Linked DNA regions of Ovis aries. The protein of the gene in region 3 interacts with the protein of the main gene of each other region in a pairwise test. Links are inferred from orthologs where the notes say so. Each region holds a gene or a part of one and is shown on either strand. Other genes may lie near its edges.

The links.
Region 1: the proteins of LZTS2 (region 3) and ATPAF2 interact in binary tests that used the Homo sapiens proteins (3 or more experiments, as listed by UniProt). The two-hybrid records come from large-scale screens. The link is inferred for Ovis aries from reciprocal best matches to the Homo sapiens genes LZTS2 and ATPAF2.
Region 2: the proteins of LZTS2 (region 3) and PQBP1 interact in binary tests that used the Homo sapiens proteins (3 or more experiments, as listed by UniProt). The two-hybrid records come from large-scale screens. The link is inferred for Ovis aries from reciprocal best matches to the Homo sapiens genes LZTS2 and PQBP1.
Region 4: the proteins of LZTS2 (region 3) and NEK6 interact in binary tests that used the Homo sapiens proteins (3 or more experiments, as listed by UniProt). The two-hybrid records come from large-scale screens. The link is inferred for Ovis aries from reciprocal best matches to the Homo sapiens genes LZTS2 and NEK6.

What each region holds. Positions count from the first base shown.
Region 1 is NC_056064.1:34,270,544-34,274,746, reverse strand, and holds the start of ATPAF2 (ATP synthase mitochondrial F1 complex assembly factor 2), read right to left. Parts: upstream 2,801-4,203; 5' UTR 2,629-2,800; coding exon 2,496-2,628; intron 1-2,495. Other genes in the region: GID4 (glucose-induced degradation protein 4 homolog), read left to right, coding at 3,221-3,409. UniProt on the Homo sapiens protein: Plays a role in the assembly of the F1 component of the mitochondrial ATP synthase (ATPase).
Region 2 is NC_056080.1:56,175,740-56,179,689, forward strand, and holds the start of PQBP1 (polyglutamine-binding protein 1), read right to left. Parts: upstream 2,801-3,950; 5' UTR 2,651-2,800; intron 2,489-2,650; exon of another isoform or gene 2,390-2,488; intron 2,276-2,389; exon of another isoform or gene 2,257-2,275; 5' UTR 2,239-2,256; coding exon 2,172-2,238; intron 795-2,171; exon of another isoform or gene 433-794; coding exon 321-432; exon of another isoform or gene 1-320. Other genes in the region: TIMM17B (mitochondrial import inner membrane translocase subunit Tim17-B), read left to right, coding at 2,992-3,017, 3,891-3,950. UniProt on the Homo sapiens protein: Intrinsically disordered protein that acts as a scaffold, and which is involved in different processes, such as pre-mRNA splicing, transcription regulation, innate immunity and neuron development.
Region 3 is NC_056075.1:21,599,785-21,603,284, reverse strand, and holds part of LZTS2 (leucine zipper putative tumor suppressor 2), read right to left. Parts: exon of another isoform or gene 3,361-3,500; intron 1,196-3,360; 5' UTR 1,154-1,195; coding exon 746-1,153; intron 128-745; coding exon 1-127. UniProt on the Homo sapiens protein: Negative regulator of katanin-mediated microtubule severing and release from the centrosome. Required for central spindle formation and the completion of cytokinesis.
Region 4 is NC_056056.1:11,541,380-11,545,525, reverse strand, and holds the start of NEK6 (serine/threonine-protein kinase Nek6), read left to right. Parts: upstream 1-1,346; 5' UTR 1,347-4,146. UniProt on the Homo sapiens protein: Protein kinase which plays an important role in mitotic cell cycle progression. Required for chromosome segregation at metaphase-anaphase transition, robust mitotic spindle formation and cytokinesis.

The DNA of each region.
Region 1 (4,203 bases), on a different chromosome or scaffold from region 3:
TACCGTTTGATCCAGCAAGTCTGCTCTTGCGTGTGTGCTAAATTGCTTTAGTTGTGTCCAACTCTTTGTGACCCTATGGACTGCAGTCCACCAGGCTTTTCTGTCCATGGAATTCTCTAGCCAAGAATACTGGAGTGGGTTGCCATTCCCTTCTCCAAGGGCTCTTCCTGACCCACGAATCAAAGCCGGGTCTCCTGCCTTGCAGGTGTATTCTTTAACCCTGAGCCACTGGGGACGTCCTATTTATTTTTAGGTACCTCCTATGAGAAACGAAAACACATTCTCACACAAAAACCTGTATTCAAGTGTTTACAAAGGCATTCAGAACAGTCAAATGATGAAAACCACCCAAATGTTCATCAATGACTGACTGGGTAAATAAGACATGGTGTGTCCCCAAAACTGAATATTACCAGTTATGAAAAAGAATGAAGTACTGACATGCGCTAACTCTAGGACAAACCTTGTGAAAGTGAAAGTGAAGGTGCTCAGTCGTGTCCGACTCTTTGCAACCCCGTAGACTGTAGCCTACCAGGCTCCTCCGTCCATGGGATTTTCCAGGCAAGAGTACTGGAGTGGGTTGCCATTTCCTTCTCCAGAGGATCTTCCGGACCCAGAGATCGAACCAGGGTCTCCTGCATTGTAGGCAGATGCTTTACCGTCTGAGCCACCAGGGAAGCCAGGACGAACCTTGGATATACGCTAAATGGAGAAAAAGACCACATTCCATTTATATGAAATGTCCAAAATAGGGAAATCTATAGATACAGATCTCTGGTGGCTCACAGGTTAAAGCATCTGCCTGCAATGCGGGAGACCCCGGTTCAATCCCTGGGTCAGGAAGACCCCCTGGAGAAGGAAATGGCAACCCACTCCAGTACTCTTGCCTGGAGAATCCCATGGAGGGAGGAGCCTGGTAGGCGACCGTCCACAGGGTCGCAAAGAGTCGGACACGGCTGAGCGACTTGACTTCATAGAGAGTGAAGTAGTGGTTGTCTAGGGCTGGAGGGATGGGGTGGGGCAGGGGGATACTCAGAGTGGCAGCTAATGGGTACAGGGATCCTTTGGTGTCATAAGAAGGTTCCAGAACTGATGGCAGCAGAACTCTGAGTATACTGTGCTTAGTCGCTCAGTATGTCCGACTCTGCAACCCCATGGACTGTAACCCGCCAGGCTCCTCTGTCCACAGGGATTCTCCAGGCAAGAATACTGGAGTGGGTAGCCATGCCCTTCCTCCAGGGGATCTTCCCAACCCAGGGATTGAACCCAGGTCTCCCGCAACAAGGGTGGATTCTTTACCATCTGAGCCATTAGGGACCATTAAACTGTACAATCTAAGTGAGTGAATTCTAAATGCATCATCTCAGTAAGGCTGTTTTAAAATTCTTCAGGGCAAGTGTATCTACCACAGCAATTACTATAAACGGGCCAGATGACTAAACACTTTTCCCCAAAACCGCTCTAGCATCCACAGCACTGCTGGCAAACTTTTTCTGTAAAAAGCCAAAGTGTTTTAAGCTTTGCAGGCCATCCAGTGTCTGGCACAACCAGCCAACTCTGCACTGTAGTGAAAACAGCCTTAGGTGTGTGTCAGTGAATGAGCGGGCCTGGGTTCCTGGAAAACTATTTACAAAAACAGGTGGCAGGCTGGCCTCCCTATCTACAGCATCTCCCTCAATCCAGCACAAGCTGTCTCTTTAGAGGAGGCAGACAATGAGACGCTAAACCACTTGTGCAGACAAGACAACTTGTAAGCAGAGACCCCCAGCTTTGACTTCACCGGTGTACTCCTCAGCTGGACAGGCAGGCTCTCTGAAGACCTTTCTTCTCTATGCAGCTGATGGCTGGGACAGCTGGTAGGGGACTGGAGGCCACACGGGCGACCTCGGAACAGCTCCAACACCGCAGTGACCTTCTCCTCACCCCCACCTTCAGCACAGTACTAACTGGCAGGAAAGAAAGCGTTACTGTCTTCACTCACTTAAAGTCAGTCCCACTCTTATCCCAAAATCTTTGCCTAGGAGTAAGAAAGATCCGCTACAGAAAGCCTCATCCGAGTCGGAAGTGCAGGAAGGGGGCACGGGGTGTCAACTCCTTAGAAGAGGTGGCAGGTGTTCTGGGAGGGCAGCAGGAGGCAGGGCCAGGACAGCTGTGGAGCAAGCGGCCGGGATGGAAGACTTAAAGCCCGAGCTTCAGGCCCCTTCAGTGCCGGTCGCGGGGACACAGAAAGCAGCCTAGCAGACTGGCCTTTGCCCCGCAAACCTCTGAGTCTGCTTCGCGCCTCTAGCGCAATCCCGACCCAGAAGTCGAATTTCCCCGCCTGAAAATAAGGATGACCTCTGCTTCCCCAGTGAAAGAGAGAAAAACCGCACCTGCCAAAAGGAAACGACGCGCGTGTGCCCTGGAGCGATCCCTGCCCTCGCGGGGAACTTCCCTCCCACCGTGTGACCCTGCATGGCCGACCCCTCAGCCTGCTCCGCCCTGGCCTCTCTCACCTGCCGGGGGCACGTAGGCCCGGAAGGGGATAGGGGGCTTTCGCCCCAGCCCCTCGGAGGCGGTGAGGCCACTTCGGGGCCGGTTCAGGAGGCGACGCCCCCCATCCCGCAGCCGAAGGCAGCTCCTCCACATCGCGCGGGGGCCTCAGAGAACGACCGCTCGAAACCAGAGCTCGGGGAAAAGGAGCGGAGGGACCACACGCCGTGTGCTCGAACTCCACAAACCTCCTCACCAGTCGCCGGCACCCTCTCCCTTTTGGGGCGCCGCCATGTTGCGCACGACACTCGTAGCGCGCCGCCGCCGCGCGCCTCAGCGCACGCCGCAGCCAATCAGCATCACAAACGCCCCGGCCCCGCCCCCGCGCCGCGCCTCGGGAAAAAGACTACAAGTACCAGAGGGCCTCGGCTCCCGCCACGTGCTTTCCCCGCCCGCCAATGGGCGGAATCGCCGAGCCAGCCTGATCCCGCCCCTCAGCGCGCCCGAGCCAATCGGAAGGGGTGTGTGTGCGAGCGCAGGCGGGGAGGGGGTTCGCTCAGGACCCGGAGGCCCTGCTCGCAGGTCCCGGGGTCCCGGTGGTGGCCGGAGCGCTCGATCTGCTTGCGGCCGGCGGGTGGACCCCTCCCGCCCTACGCGCGCGCCGGCTTCTCCTCCGTCTGCCCTCGGCTTCCGCGCGGCGGCGGCGGTTCCTCCCCCTCCCCCAGCCCTGGCTCCGGGGGACCCCGCGATGCCGGTCCGCACCGAGTGTCCCCCGCCGGCCGGTGCCTCGGCCGCCTCCGCCGCCTCGCTCATCCCGCCGCCGCCTATCAACACGCAGCAGCCCGGCGTGGCCACCAGCCTGCTCTACAGCGGCTCCAAGTTCCGCGGCCACCAGAAGAGCAAGGGGAACTCGTACGACGTGGAGGTAGTGCTGCAGGTGAGCCGGCGGCCCGGCCTCTCGAGACGTCCACGGACCGGGCCACGCCGCCGCCCCCTGGGGCCCGCGGCCACGGACGGGCCTGCTGCCCGGGCCTGCCGGGGGCCCTCCGGCGCACCCCAACCCTGCGGGCCCGAGCCGGGGACCGGCCGCCTCAGATCCGGCCCTGCCTCCCCGTGGCCTGTCGCCCCGGCAACAGTCTTTCTTTCAGTCCCTCTCGGACCCCGTCCGGGAAACTCTCCAGGGATTCCCTCTGACTCTGGACGCTCCCAGGCCCTAGACGTGCCTGCTGCCTCCCACGTTTTCCTCGGTCCCATGAACCCCAGGCCCTGGGACCCGCCTCCTTCTCCGGGGGTTTCCTCCCCGGCAGAGCTTCATCCGCCTCCTCTCTCCATCAGCCCCGGGACCTGAGGGCCCCCATCCCACCTGGACTGCTGGCCCATTCCTTAGCCTGGGCACTCACATCCTAAGTGGGCTCCTCACAGTCTGTTAGAAGCTGATCTCCTAGCCCCCAACCCATAGTCTCTTCCTGGCTCAGACTCTTGACACTCCCTACTCCCCACCCTCTTTCCACTTCCAGTCCACTCCTGTTCTGTCCATCTGTCTGCCCAGACCTCCCCATCTCTCTGTTCTCCTCCTTCCTGGCTCTAGGGGACCCTCTTACTGTATTTTTAACTTTGATCCACATGTCAGGGCTTCCTTTGTAGTCTCTGATACTCATGCTAGGAAATGTAACTCACCCACTTTTATTTCTCATATGGTATTTCCTCCCCCCATCTGACCTGGATTTCTGA
Region 2 (3,950 bases), on a different chromosome or scaffold from region 3:
AAGCTGAAACCCTAATACTTTGGCCATCTCATGCAAAGTGTTGACTCATTGAAAAGGACTCTGATGCTGGGAGGGATTGGGGGCAGGAGGAGAAGGGGACGACAGAGGATGAGATGGCTGGATGGCATCACTGACTCGATGGACATCAGTTTGAGTGAACTCTGGGAGTTGGTGATGGACAGGGAGGCCTGGTGTGCTGTGATTCATGGGGTCACAAAGAGTCGGACATGACTGAGTGACTGAACTGAACTGAACCCTTCACAGGAAGGGTGAAGTCAGAAGTTAGCTCTCCCTCCCCACCCGCATGTCGTCAGGCTCACCAGGAAGGGTCAAACACCTTGTACCAGCTTGGTGGCAGGCCCTCCAACCGGGTAGCCTCATAGTCCACAGGATCGTCATCATAGTCCTCAGCAATGATCTCTTCCTCTGGTTCTGGCAGGACAAGGAAGGGAAGAGGACAGCAGTAAGAACCAGGGAGATTCCCATCCTGCAATCAGGGCCTGGAGAGACACACTCACATTCACGTGGACTGTGTGTGTGTGTGTGCATGCCAGGTCTCACATGCCAGAGCAAATACTGCTCATGTTCCAAATCCAAGTATCTGAATATCAGGATTTACCAAAAAAATTTACTCAAATCTGTTTACGGGTACTACTACCCAAACTTATCTGGTTTCATACTTTAGACAGGGATACATTTTTTTTAAAAAGTATCCATATTTATTCAGCTTCTGAGTTCAAATAGTATGTGACACTGTATTATGCAAATTTGAATAAAATGAGTTTCAACAGCAAGGGGTTTACCTAAAAATATGTCCAAATCTATTCAGCTTCCACGGCTGGCAAATATGGGGTTTCTGACTCCTATATATTGACTAGCAAGTTTGGACAGCAAGGGATTTATCCAAACACTTCTCTGAATCTGTTCAGTTCCTGATGCCTGCAATAGTTGTCAGTTACTATCAACAGAATAAAGAAAGGTGTATGAGTACTTGGACCTCAGTAGTCCTATCACAGATTTCACCCATGGATATAGTTAACAATTAAATGTATATGTCAGCAACAGCATAGTGCCTGTCACACAATAGGCCCCAAATAGATGTCAGCTACAATCATTAATATTGTTAGTAAGATACATACAGTTAGTACAGGGCCTGGTAGCAAACAGCCTTAAAATAAATACCATATCAGTATCATTATCAATATTATTAATAACCAAAGATCTTTGGCATACAACAGGCTTGTAATAGGTGTCACTTATCAATAAAGTGAAAATAAGATGAGTTTTCTAGTACCTGGCACACCTTAGCCCAAAATAGATGCCAGCTTTTACTATTATTGATAAATAAGGTATAAATACTAGCAACAGCAGCACAGTAGGCCTAAATGATAGATCCTATCATTACTTTATATACTGTTAACCACAGTGTATGATAAGCACTTAAGAAGACTCAAAATACATGTCAGCTATTGACATGGTGAACAATAAGGTATGGACAACTCACACAGTGCCTAGTTCCACAGCAGGTCTGAAATAATGTTATCTACTAGTATGTTACAGAACAAAGTATCAGCACCCTGCGACTATACTTGGCCGACAGGAGGCTGCCATAGGTGTCAGCTTACTATTACTATCCTTATTATACTTCCAGGAATTAACTGATGGGTTAAACTTTGGCTACAGAAGACCCCAAAATACACATCAACTGTCAGTGTTAAGGACGAAATGTCTATTCCATACCCCACCTCCCCTCCTCCTCATAGGACAGGAATAGGGGTCAGTAACACGTATTGTTGGGAATCCCTGGTAGCTCAGAGGTTAAAGCATCTGCCCGCAATGCGGGAGACCCGGGTTCGATCCCTGGGTAGGGAAGATTCCCCTGGAGAAGGAAATGGCAACCCACTCCCGTCCAAGTATTCTTGCCTGGAGAATTCCATGGACGGAGGAGCCTCGTAGGCTACAGTCCACGGGGTCGCAAAGAGTCGGACACGACCGAGCGACTTCACTTTCACTTTCTTTCACTTTCAACACGTATTGTTAACAAGGAAATGCCTGCCACCCCACTGCTTGGTGCACAATAGGCCCATGCTAGATATCAAGCGGCAGTATCCGCAACAAAGTGCCTGTCAAGTCGGGCACATGGTAGGCCTCTCTTCTCTTAGTTCTCTCACCAGGCTCCAAATGTTTGAGGATGCCTCTCTTGGCCAAGCGGGTCTGCAACGCAACAGGCAGCGGCATAGCGGATGGCAGACAGGCCTACGGAAGGACAGACAGCCTGAAAAACAGCTCAGATGAGGACTGAATCTGGTTACAAGAGTAACCAAGGGCCTCCCCGCAGCATGTACTCAATCTGGACCCCCATCTACACTAGGAGGGAAATAGACCCTACCCGCTGAAAGGTGGAAGGGGTTGTAAACAGCAATATCACCAACACTCTCACCAACTCCGCTCTCCCAGGCCAGTGGCTGCAGCACCGGGTTCCCGTCCTAGGCCCAGGCTCCGCCCAGCCCAAGGGGCCATGCGCGGCTCCCCCACTACCCAAAATGGTTTCACCCAACGTCCCCCAAAGACTGCTGGGTGGGAGGAACCAAAGCGTTGGGATGGGGGAGCACAGTGTAACACCTCCTCCAGCTCCAAAAAATGCACCCACCCCAAATTACCAATACAGTCACGCAAGTAGTGGACGACTTTCCAACTGGCCACCTCTCTCTCGTCGTCTCTATGAGCGCCAGGACCACACGACTCTCTTCTCCCAAAGCACAGAATGAGTTTCTCTCTCCCCGAGCTTAGACGTAACTGCACGACGCTCACGCAGTGAAAAGATGACGCAAACCTACCTAGCCAATGAGAATGCGCTTTGATCTGAAGTCTGGCGAAACAACAGAACCGTTGCCCTGGGATAGGTGGAAAGCTCGGGCGCTTGTATACGTTTCCAGTGGAGGTGTGGCCCGGCCAGGGTTTAGCGATACTGCGCGGCCGGACGCCGGCGCCATGGAGGAGTATGCTCGGGAACCTTGGTACAGCGAGGGGCATAGGTGTCGGGACTGTTGCTGCGGCGCCACGGCCAGCGGTGGGAGGCGGGTGGGGGAGGCACGGGCCACACAGCGCCACGTCCCAGACTCGGAACACATTTAGATTTTTGTTGTCTTCTGCTCCTCTCCACTTGGTTTCTCTTACTCGGGCTCCGTTAAAAGGGGCCACAATTGTGTGCCTGCAGAAGAAGGTTTGGTGCAGGACGGACCACTCCACGTTTTCCTTGATTCCGTACCTCCCAGCCCCTCTGTTAAAGACACGCTGGTCGAATCCATTCCAGCCAGGGGGTGGTGCGGTGTTGAGCGGGTATCCCCTGGAAAAACGCATGGTTTTTCCCAGGTCGCTTTGGTTAATGCTGGCGGGGCCTGGATGAGCCTGACCATGATTGTGGTCATGGAGGGGTGATGGGTCCTCCGCACTCTATGTGCTTGATTTTCCCCAGTTGTGCGAGGGTGAAAAGGGAAGAGGACGTGGCTTTGTTGGACGTGCTCATTATCGGAAAAAGGGGTGCTACCCCATTCTGCTTAAGGAACAGTGCCTGCAACACCTGTAGCGTAATTCAAACGTGCCAATTCTTTAATTAATGCCCTCTCATTAATTCATTTAATCTTTGACAGTAGTCAACCAGTTGGTTGATTCCCTGGTTGGCTGTGAAGGGGAGGGGCGGACAGGGCCAAGACTGATGTTTTCCCCTCTTCACATTATTTTTTGCTTAAATGAGGGGAGAAATAATCCCAGTATTATCTGAAGTGCTAGTTCTCATTTGGGTGACGTATTGCTCCCAGTTGGAAAGAGATCTTGTGACTTGGCATGAGGGAGCGCTCACATTAACCTCATCCTCCCCTTCCCGCTTGCAGCCCATGGCGAATTGTGGATGATTGCGGTGGAGCCTTCACTATGGGTGTTATCGGCGGTGG
Region 3 (3,500 bases):
GGCTGCCTTGGCTCCCCGACGGTCCGGTGGCCCGAGGACCCAGGAAGCTAGGTAGGGATGGTACCCCTCGAGGTTTGGGCAGCACTGGCTTGAAGGCTGTTGGGCGGATCACAATTTTCTCCATGTTCTGAAATGAGGTGCCATTTGACAATAGGGATGAGCCGCCCAATCTCTTGAAGCCCTTATCACACTCCCTGCCCTCCCATCCAGGGCCCCCAGTCCCCATATAGTAATAACAATTGCTACCACTGGCTGAGGGCCCCCTGTGTCAGCTTTACTTACGTCAGGCAACTTAAAATGTACCTCTCAGGTCATTACAAAATCCATGCAAGCAAAATATCATCGCTATTGCATACATAGATGAGGAAATGGAGGCTGAGGGAGTTACAGGCTTTGCACAAATGCAAACACACACTAGCTATTTAAAACAGTATTTCTAAGAAGCTAACATTTATTGAGTACCTATTATGTGCCAGGCACTATGCTAAACACTTTACACATATTATTTGATTTAATTCTCACAACAATCCTATGAGAATTGACCTGTTACCTCCATTTTACAAACACAGAAACTGAGGCTCAGAAAGGTTAAATGATGTCCCTGAGTGAGGTAGAGCTGGGATAAGAACCCAAGTCTGGTGAATCTGGAGCCCACACTCCTTCCTATAAATAGGTCTCCAAATTTCAGCTTCTCCAGGGGACCTCTGATTCCACCCAGACCCTCAAAAGAAGGGCTGGTCCTCACCTTCTCTAGCTTTCCAGAGACAGGGATGAGCTTTGGTGGGGGACCACGGAGGTGAGCATTGCGTGCCCGCTGCTCTCGGGCATCTTCAAGGTCACTGCTTGGGCTGGGGGGTGACTCTGTCCGGAAGTCCTCGTTGATGTAGGTAAAGTTGGTACCAGGGACAGCCTTCCTGGGGGGCACAGCTGGGCACAGTGGCTCCTGTGCCTCGTAGCCACCCCGCAGCAGCCCATCCTGCTGGCGGAAGAAGGTGGGTCCAGGGGGACCATGGTGGCGAGGAGGAGCCGGCCCCCCGGGGCAGGGCCGGCCTGAGATGAGGCTGCTCACGCTGCCCATGGCTGGAGCTTGTGGGGCGGTAGCGGCCTCAGGAGCGGGTTCCAGGGGCACTGGCAGTGTCTGCACAATGGCCATGGCGGCAGAGGCTCAGGCCTGGCCAGGGGCCTCCAGGGAAACCTGTGAGCAGGGAAGTGGCATCAGAGTCTCTCCATCGTGAGCTCCCTTCCTGTGTGAAGTCCTGAGTCCCTCCTGGTCCTTAGTCTCTGGTCAAACGGCCCACCCAACATCAGTGAAAAGCACTGATATCCTCCCCCTAACACATCCCCTCTTGCATCTTGGCAAGAACCTCCATCCTCCCTGGGCCCCAGACCACTGCCCAATTCTGGTCTGAATAGGGCTAAGGACTGAATCTATCAAGCAGGGATGATGAGGGAATGGGGGTCCCACAGAGGCCAGGAATCAGGGAGGAAGCCCTCTGTACCAGCTCCTGGCACTGGTCCCTGTTCCACTGGGACAGGTGGACTCATTAGATGCAGTCTGGGCAAACTCAGGGGTGCAGTCTGCAGCTCAAAATGGTAATTAGGGAACAAAGAGCTAAGGTCAGGCAGTGCCCAGCCTCACCCAGCTGGGCCTCAGTTTCTCCCAGACAGAGAGGCGGCAAGGGTGGAGCTGGTCAAACAAGAACCAGAGCTCTCAGGGAACCCACAGGTGCCCTCTGGGGTCTCCTGCCTCCCAGAGGTGGATGTAGGCTCATGCCTATTTCCATGACAATTCCTAGCCTCACCGCACCCAGTCAGTCAGGCCTAAAGAAGCCTCCACAGGCCCATTGCCAACCTCTATGAAACCTTTTAGCTTTCGACATTCCCCAGAGTAAATCCAAAGGGATGAGAATAGAGGCTCTACCATCACCTCTGGCAGCTGCTCCAGGGAAGAGAGCTCCACCTTCCCAGGCCCTGCTCTTCCTGGAAGGGGATAGCAAGCCTCCACCCGGAACTCCCTCCCTAGTCCTGAGGCTGAAGACCAGGGCTCAGGCATCTGCTGAAGTCATCATGCAGAGCGGGGGCCAAGAAGTGGACAGAGAACTGCGTAGGAGTAGGAGTGTATGCATTTTACTTATTTGTGTGTGTGAAACTGTGCACAAGAACATGAACATGAGCACTGTGTGTGAAAACATGAGTGTATGTGAGTACACGTATGTTTGGATAGATGTATCAATACATTCAGATATATACATGTATATATACATGAACTCATATGGGCATACCTTACAAAAATCTGTGCAGCTCTCTCAGAAAGTATCTGAAAATTATAAATGCATACATTAGTGAATCTGTGATGTATGAGTGTGACTATGTCAGAGAATGGTTTGATGTCCATTCATATATACACGAGTTTATGTATCCTACACAAGCGTGTGAACAGGAAATAGTGCACAAGTGTGTACAGAGTGTTGTGTGTGCATGTGAGAGGGTGAGAGTCTGGGTGGCACGCAGGGCCAAATGAGTGAGTGGGAGCCTGGTTTTTGTCACTCACTGGAGTGTGTGGAGAGGAGAGACACATTATTCTTTGCTTGATCTGCTCTCCTTCATTCTTGCTTGTGTTCGTTAAGTCCACCCTCCCCCACCTTCCCGCTCAAGTCAAAAGATCTGGAGGAAGGTGTCCAGACTGAGGGAGGAGGAGCTGGGAGCCAGGGGTGGGGGTGACTGGTGCCCTCGGAGCAGGGGTGGGGACTGAGTCCACCCCACAAGTGCCAGTCCTGAGCAAAGCTGATAGAACACCCCCTCCTCTGCCCTCTCCCAGACCACCCAGGACATGCAGGAAACCGTGGGGAAGGGGCTTCCCTAAGAGGCCAAGAGGGCTGGCACCTCGGTGTGTTTCCCCACTTCAGTGAGCACAGAGTGGAAACTGAGGGGAGGAGACAGAGAGATTCAGACAGGGACCCAAAGGACAGGAGACAAAGACGAAGAGCGGCTCCAGGGCCTGGCGGACCCAGTGAGCCGGGGTCCCCGCGAAGCCAGGGGCCCCTAAACCGAGAAGAGACGCTGAGCTGGGCCCTGAGCGCCAGACACCCACGGAGCCAAAGCCAGGCGCCTGGAAAGCCAGGCCCAGCCAGTCTGGCTCCCGCTCTTGGAGCCCGAGAGAAAAGGAGGGGCAAGTGGAGGCTCCATTTTGAGAAATGCGTTTGTGGCTGTGAGACGGGAACCCCTCGCACTCCCCAACATCCTTGGGAAACCGCTCTGGCACAGCACACACTGCCCGGCTCGGTGGGCCGGGGGCGGTTGAGGGCTGGATGCAGCCGGGGCCCGAGGGAGGTCTGGCCGAGGTCCGAGTTTCCCACAGACCTGTTTCGGGGGCAGAGGAGTTCGGGAAAGTCTCCCCCTCACCAAACTCCAGGACCATCCAGCGGGATCAAGTCTGAGATCACGAGTTTCCATTACAAGACAGGAAGCCGGGAGCCCCCAATCCGCCCTCCGGAGTTCAC
Region 4 (4,146 bases), on a different chromosome or scaffold from region 3:
CCTGCTCCAGCCCTTCTCTTTCTGGCTTCGGTTGCCCTACCGATTATTTGCTAAGCAGTTTGCTGCACGATCTGATTTAATTGTCCCAGCGACCCCATGAAGCCTTATTTGTTTCACCCCAACCCGCTCCTCAGCTGTGTTTCCCTCGTAGCACTTATTAAGTCTGAAATGGCCGTGTCTGTCTGCTGCTGTGTCTGGATCCACCTCTTGACCACACACCTCTAGAGGGATAAGGCTCTCTGCTTTGCTCCTCAGACAGCCCTTGGCTCCGTGAGTCTCTCAAGAAAAGCCTGGCAAATGATGACGGAATGAAGGAACCTCGTTTTCTTGGCCCACAGAGCACAACTCTGTGCCCTTGGTCACCCGCCGAGGCAGCGTGGACCCCCTGCCCAGCTGGGGCCTCTCTTGCTGACCAGCCTTCAGCCTGGAATTCCAGGTGTGCCTTGGTGCCCGCAGGTTCATGCCGCCCAAAGAAACTTTCAGACTGCGCCTGTGGCTTTGGATCGGCTCAGAAAAAGCGTGTCCTGTGACTGCTCAAGGAATCTGGGCATTTAGCCCAGAAAAGAGTGTGTTTCCTGGCTTCCTGAGAGCTGGGGCCCACCCTGCCCCTGGCCTGGGCGTGTAGAAGGGGAGGGAGGGAGAGATGGACGCCAGCCCTGGAAAGGCGAGGACGTCTGGCCTTATCATCTAAGGTTCCTGAGACTGTCCAGGCAAGGCCACCCCAGCACGGTGGGGCAGAAAGTTTCCCCAGCGTTGGGGGCATCTCTAAGATGGGATTAGCACTCTCGAGTTACTGGAAAAGAAACATTCCTTGAACTCAGACAGCTTGTGATCCCCAGCGGTTCTTCTGGGCACCTCACCGGTCACCACGCGGTAGTCGTGGGTGCAGCGGTCACAGAGCTCAGGGTGACTGGCCTCCATTGGGTCATCGGGCCACCCCCTGGGGCCAGATGTTTCGAAAGCCCCTTCCTGCAGCGCCAGGCATCTGGCCTCTCCCTCCAAGGCTGGGCGCGGGTTTACGAGGTGTCTTTGAGGAAGGCTGGAGTCATCCGGCCCGTGATGTCTGCTCGTTGCATAATTTCACAATTCGGTTTTCTTTTCACAAGAAGGGTCAGTGCTTCTCTCTCCTTCTCCCTCCTCCTTTTTCCTCTTTTATTTTCTTTCCCTCTTGATCCTCCCTCATTGACTGGCCCGGAATGCCTCCACCCTCTGGCTGGGAGATCACCGAGTCCTCAGAGGAGATTAACTGGAATTACCCACAGGTTAACTGGAATATACTTGTCAAGTTTCTGAGATGGAGAAACCTCCTTTTTGTACTCAGAGGAGAGTGGAGGAGGCCAGCCTCCCTTTTCCTCAGCAGGGATTAAAAAAAGTCACCCAGGAGGGGCACAGCAGCTGGAATTTGGTTCCCAAACCCCAGACCCAGGCCAGGTCTGGGTCTGTGAGGCTGTCTCACTGATCCTTGGTGACGTGAGAAACTTAAGGACAGGCCTGGCCTCAGCAACTTTCTTGTGTCGGGTGTCCTTTTATGCAGGATGCTGACGACAGAGAGAAATTGTATTTTAGATGTCAGACAGCGCTGGCAACCTTATGTCCATCTTCAGAATTTGGGAGAATCTTTACAGGCCTGTGAAAGCCCTAGGCCCATGCTCAATTACTCAGTCGTGTCCGACTCTTTATGACCTCCTGGACTGTAGCCCACCAGACTCCTCCATGCATGGGATTTCCCAGGCAAGAATACTGGAGTGGTTTGCCATTTCCTCCTCCAGAGGAATCTTCCCAACCCAGGGATCGAACCCATGTCTCCTGCGTCTCCTGCATTGGAGGCAGATTTTTTACTGCTGAGCCACAGGGGAAGCCCATCACTAATTAACTTCCTCTGAAGCACCCGAAACAGAAGTTGAGTCTGAAAGAGTCTTCGATGCCTGGAGAACCCAGGGAACCTCAGCTGCACATGGAAGGCCAGCTGTGCTGGAGGGGGGGCGGGGGGGGGCGGGGGATGGCGGGGAGCATGTTCGTTTCCTTGAGCCGCCATGACAAATCCCTGCCTGTGGGGTGGACTGAAATAATAAAAACTGATTCTCTCACAGTCCTGGAGCCCAGAGGTCCAAAATCAAGGTGTTGGCAGCATTGGTTCCTTATCAAGGCTCTGAGGGTGAGTCCGTTGGGTGCTTTGCTCCCAGCTTCTGCTGGTCACCAGCAGTCCTTGGTGTTCCCTTGCGAATACACACACCCCTCCTATCTCTGACTCTGTCGTCACGTGGCCTTTTCCCTGTGTGTCTCTGAGTTCAGGTTTCCCTCTGCTTATAAAGATACCAGCCACTGGATTTAGGGCCACCCTAATCCTGTGTGACCTCATCTTAATTCGATTGCGTCTTCAAAGACCCTGTGTGAGTTTTGTAGGGATGCTGTCTGACCTGGTACAGGGCTGAGGGTGGGCATAGCTGAGCCATAGTCCTCTGGACTGTTTGCGGCCATTTGCATTGGGTTAACCAGGGTACCCAGGGGTCCCGCCAGCATTCCCACGGAGGAGACAGATGTGCACAAGGACCCCAGTCCAGGAAGGAGGGTCATAACCCCTCACTGTATGGACTGAGGGACCCAGGCGGGGACCCAGGCAGGGGCTCGCTGACCCCAGGGCTCTGCATCCTGGACTCGCTGGCCACAAGCACTTAGTCCTTCGGTGGCACCAGCCCAGGTAGCTTAGAGCCAAGAGCCGCTCCTCTTGCACGAGCCGCCAGCCGTGGCCGGGCTCCCCCGGCAGGGAGAGGGGCCCCTCCCAGTATGACAGGGCCCTGCCATTCTGGGTGGTGCCTGCCAGTTTGGCCTCCGCCTGCTGTGTGGGTAAAGGGCAGCCCGCAGGGCATGAAGGAGGGATCCCAGGCTCCTTTGTTTCCCCGGGAACTCTTATCTCTTTTGGCAAAAGCCCTGTGACCAGTCGTTTCCGGAGACACGTCCCAGCCTGACACCTCCTGGCCAAGTGATCTTGAGCAAGCAAATCCTGGGCCTCTCTGCATCTCTCTTGGCCTCTCCCGGGCGATAGTAGAGTTTCCAGCCGGGCCCGTTTCTGAATTAGGGAACGCTGTATGAGAGTTTGTAACCACCTTTTGCGAATCTTTCTGGTGCCTAGCACAGAGCCTGGCACCAGGCTCGGTGCTCAGTGAATACTCAGCAAATAGGAGAGCATGTCTCGGAGCCCAGAATGTACACTCTGTGGCCCTCCTGAATTACGGCCCCAGAAGGGTCTCTCGAGAGGGAGATTCTGTAGGCATTTCCTTCCTCCTGTCTGTAATGGTCACCGGAGATGACCAAGGCAGGGGTGGGGAGGTCAGCGTACATGTAGCTGGCGGAGGCTTGATGCTGCTGAACTTTGATGGAGGCTTTCATTCATCAGGTAACTCATTGAGTAAACTCATACCTCAACTTGGTACCAAGGGTGGCAGAGTGTGCAAAAGAGCCTGGAAGAGGAGCCTGGAGACCCGAGTTCTGGTGCTGGCTTTGCATGCCTTATTGGCTCTCTGTGCTCAGGGTCGCTCTTCCCACTTACCTGCCCATTTGCAGAGCTGAGGCTACAGCTGTTGTTAGGGCCTCTGTCCCACACCTAATGCTGGGCCCATCCAGCTTCCAGGCCTTTGCACAGGCTGTGCCATCTGCCTGGAGCGCCCTCCCGCTGCTCCTCTGCTCAGAGCAGCTTCCTCTTCTGAAGAAACAACACCCCATTCTTCGGGCAGACTGCGAGACACTTCCTTGTGTTTCCACACTCTTGGTGTGCAAAGCAGCAGTCACACTGGCTTGTAGGTGCATTGGCTTGTGAGACTCCTCTCTCTCTCTAAATGGAGAGCCCCACTGAGGTTGCACTGGTTCCAGTACCTGCTGGTTGAATGAACAAATGATTGAAGGTCCTTGGGCCCCTTACTTCTCTGTTCCAAGCCTCAGTTTCCTGTCCTTCTGCTTTCAAGCACAGAAAGTGGGCTGGTGGATTCTTTGGGGGGTTATTCTTAGGTCTCTGGTGAGACATGAGACCTCAGATGAGTGGATTCAGGATTTTTCCTGCTCCCAGGAATAGAGCAGTGGCGTGGTGGTGGCTGCGAGCGTGTTTGTTGAACGACCGCCTGCTCTTGGTGCAGATGTTCCGGATTCTCCGTG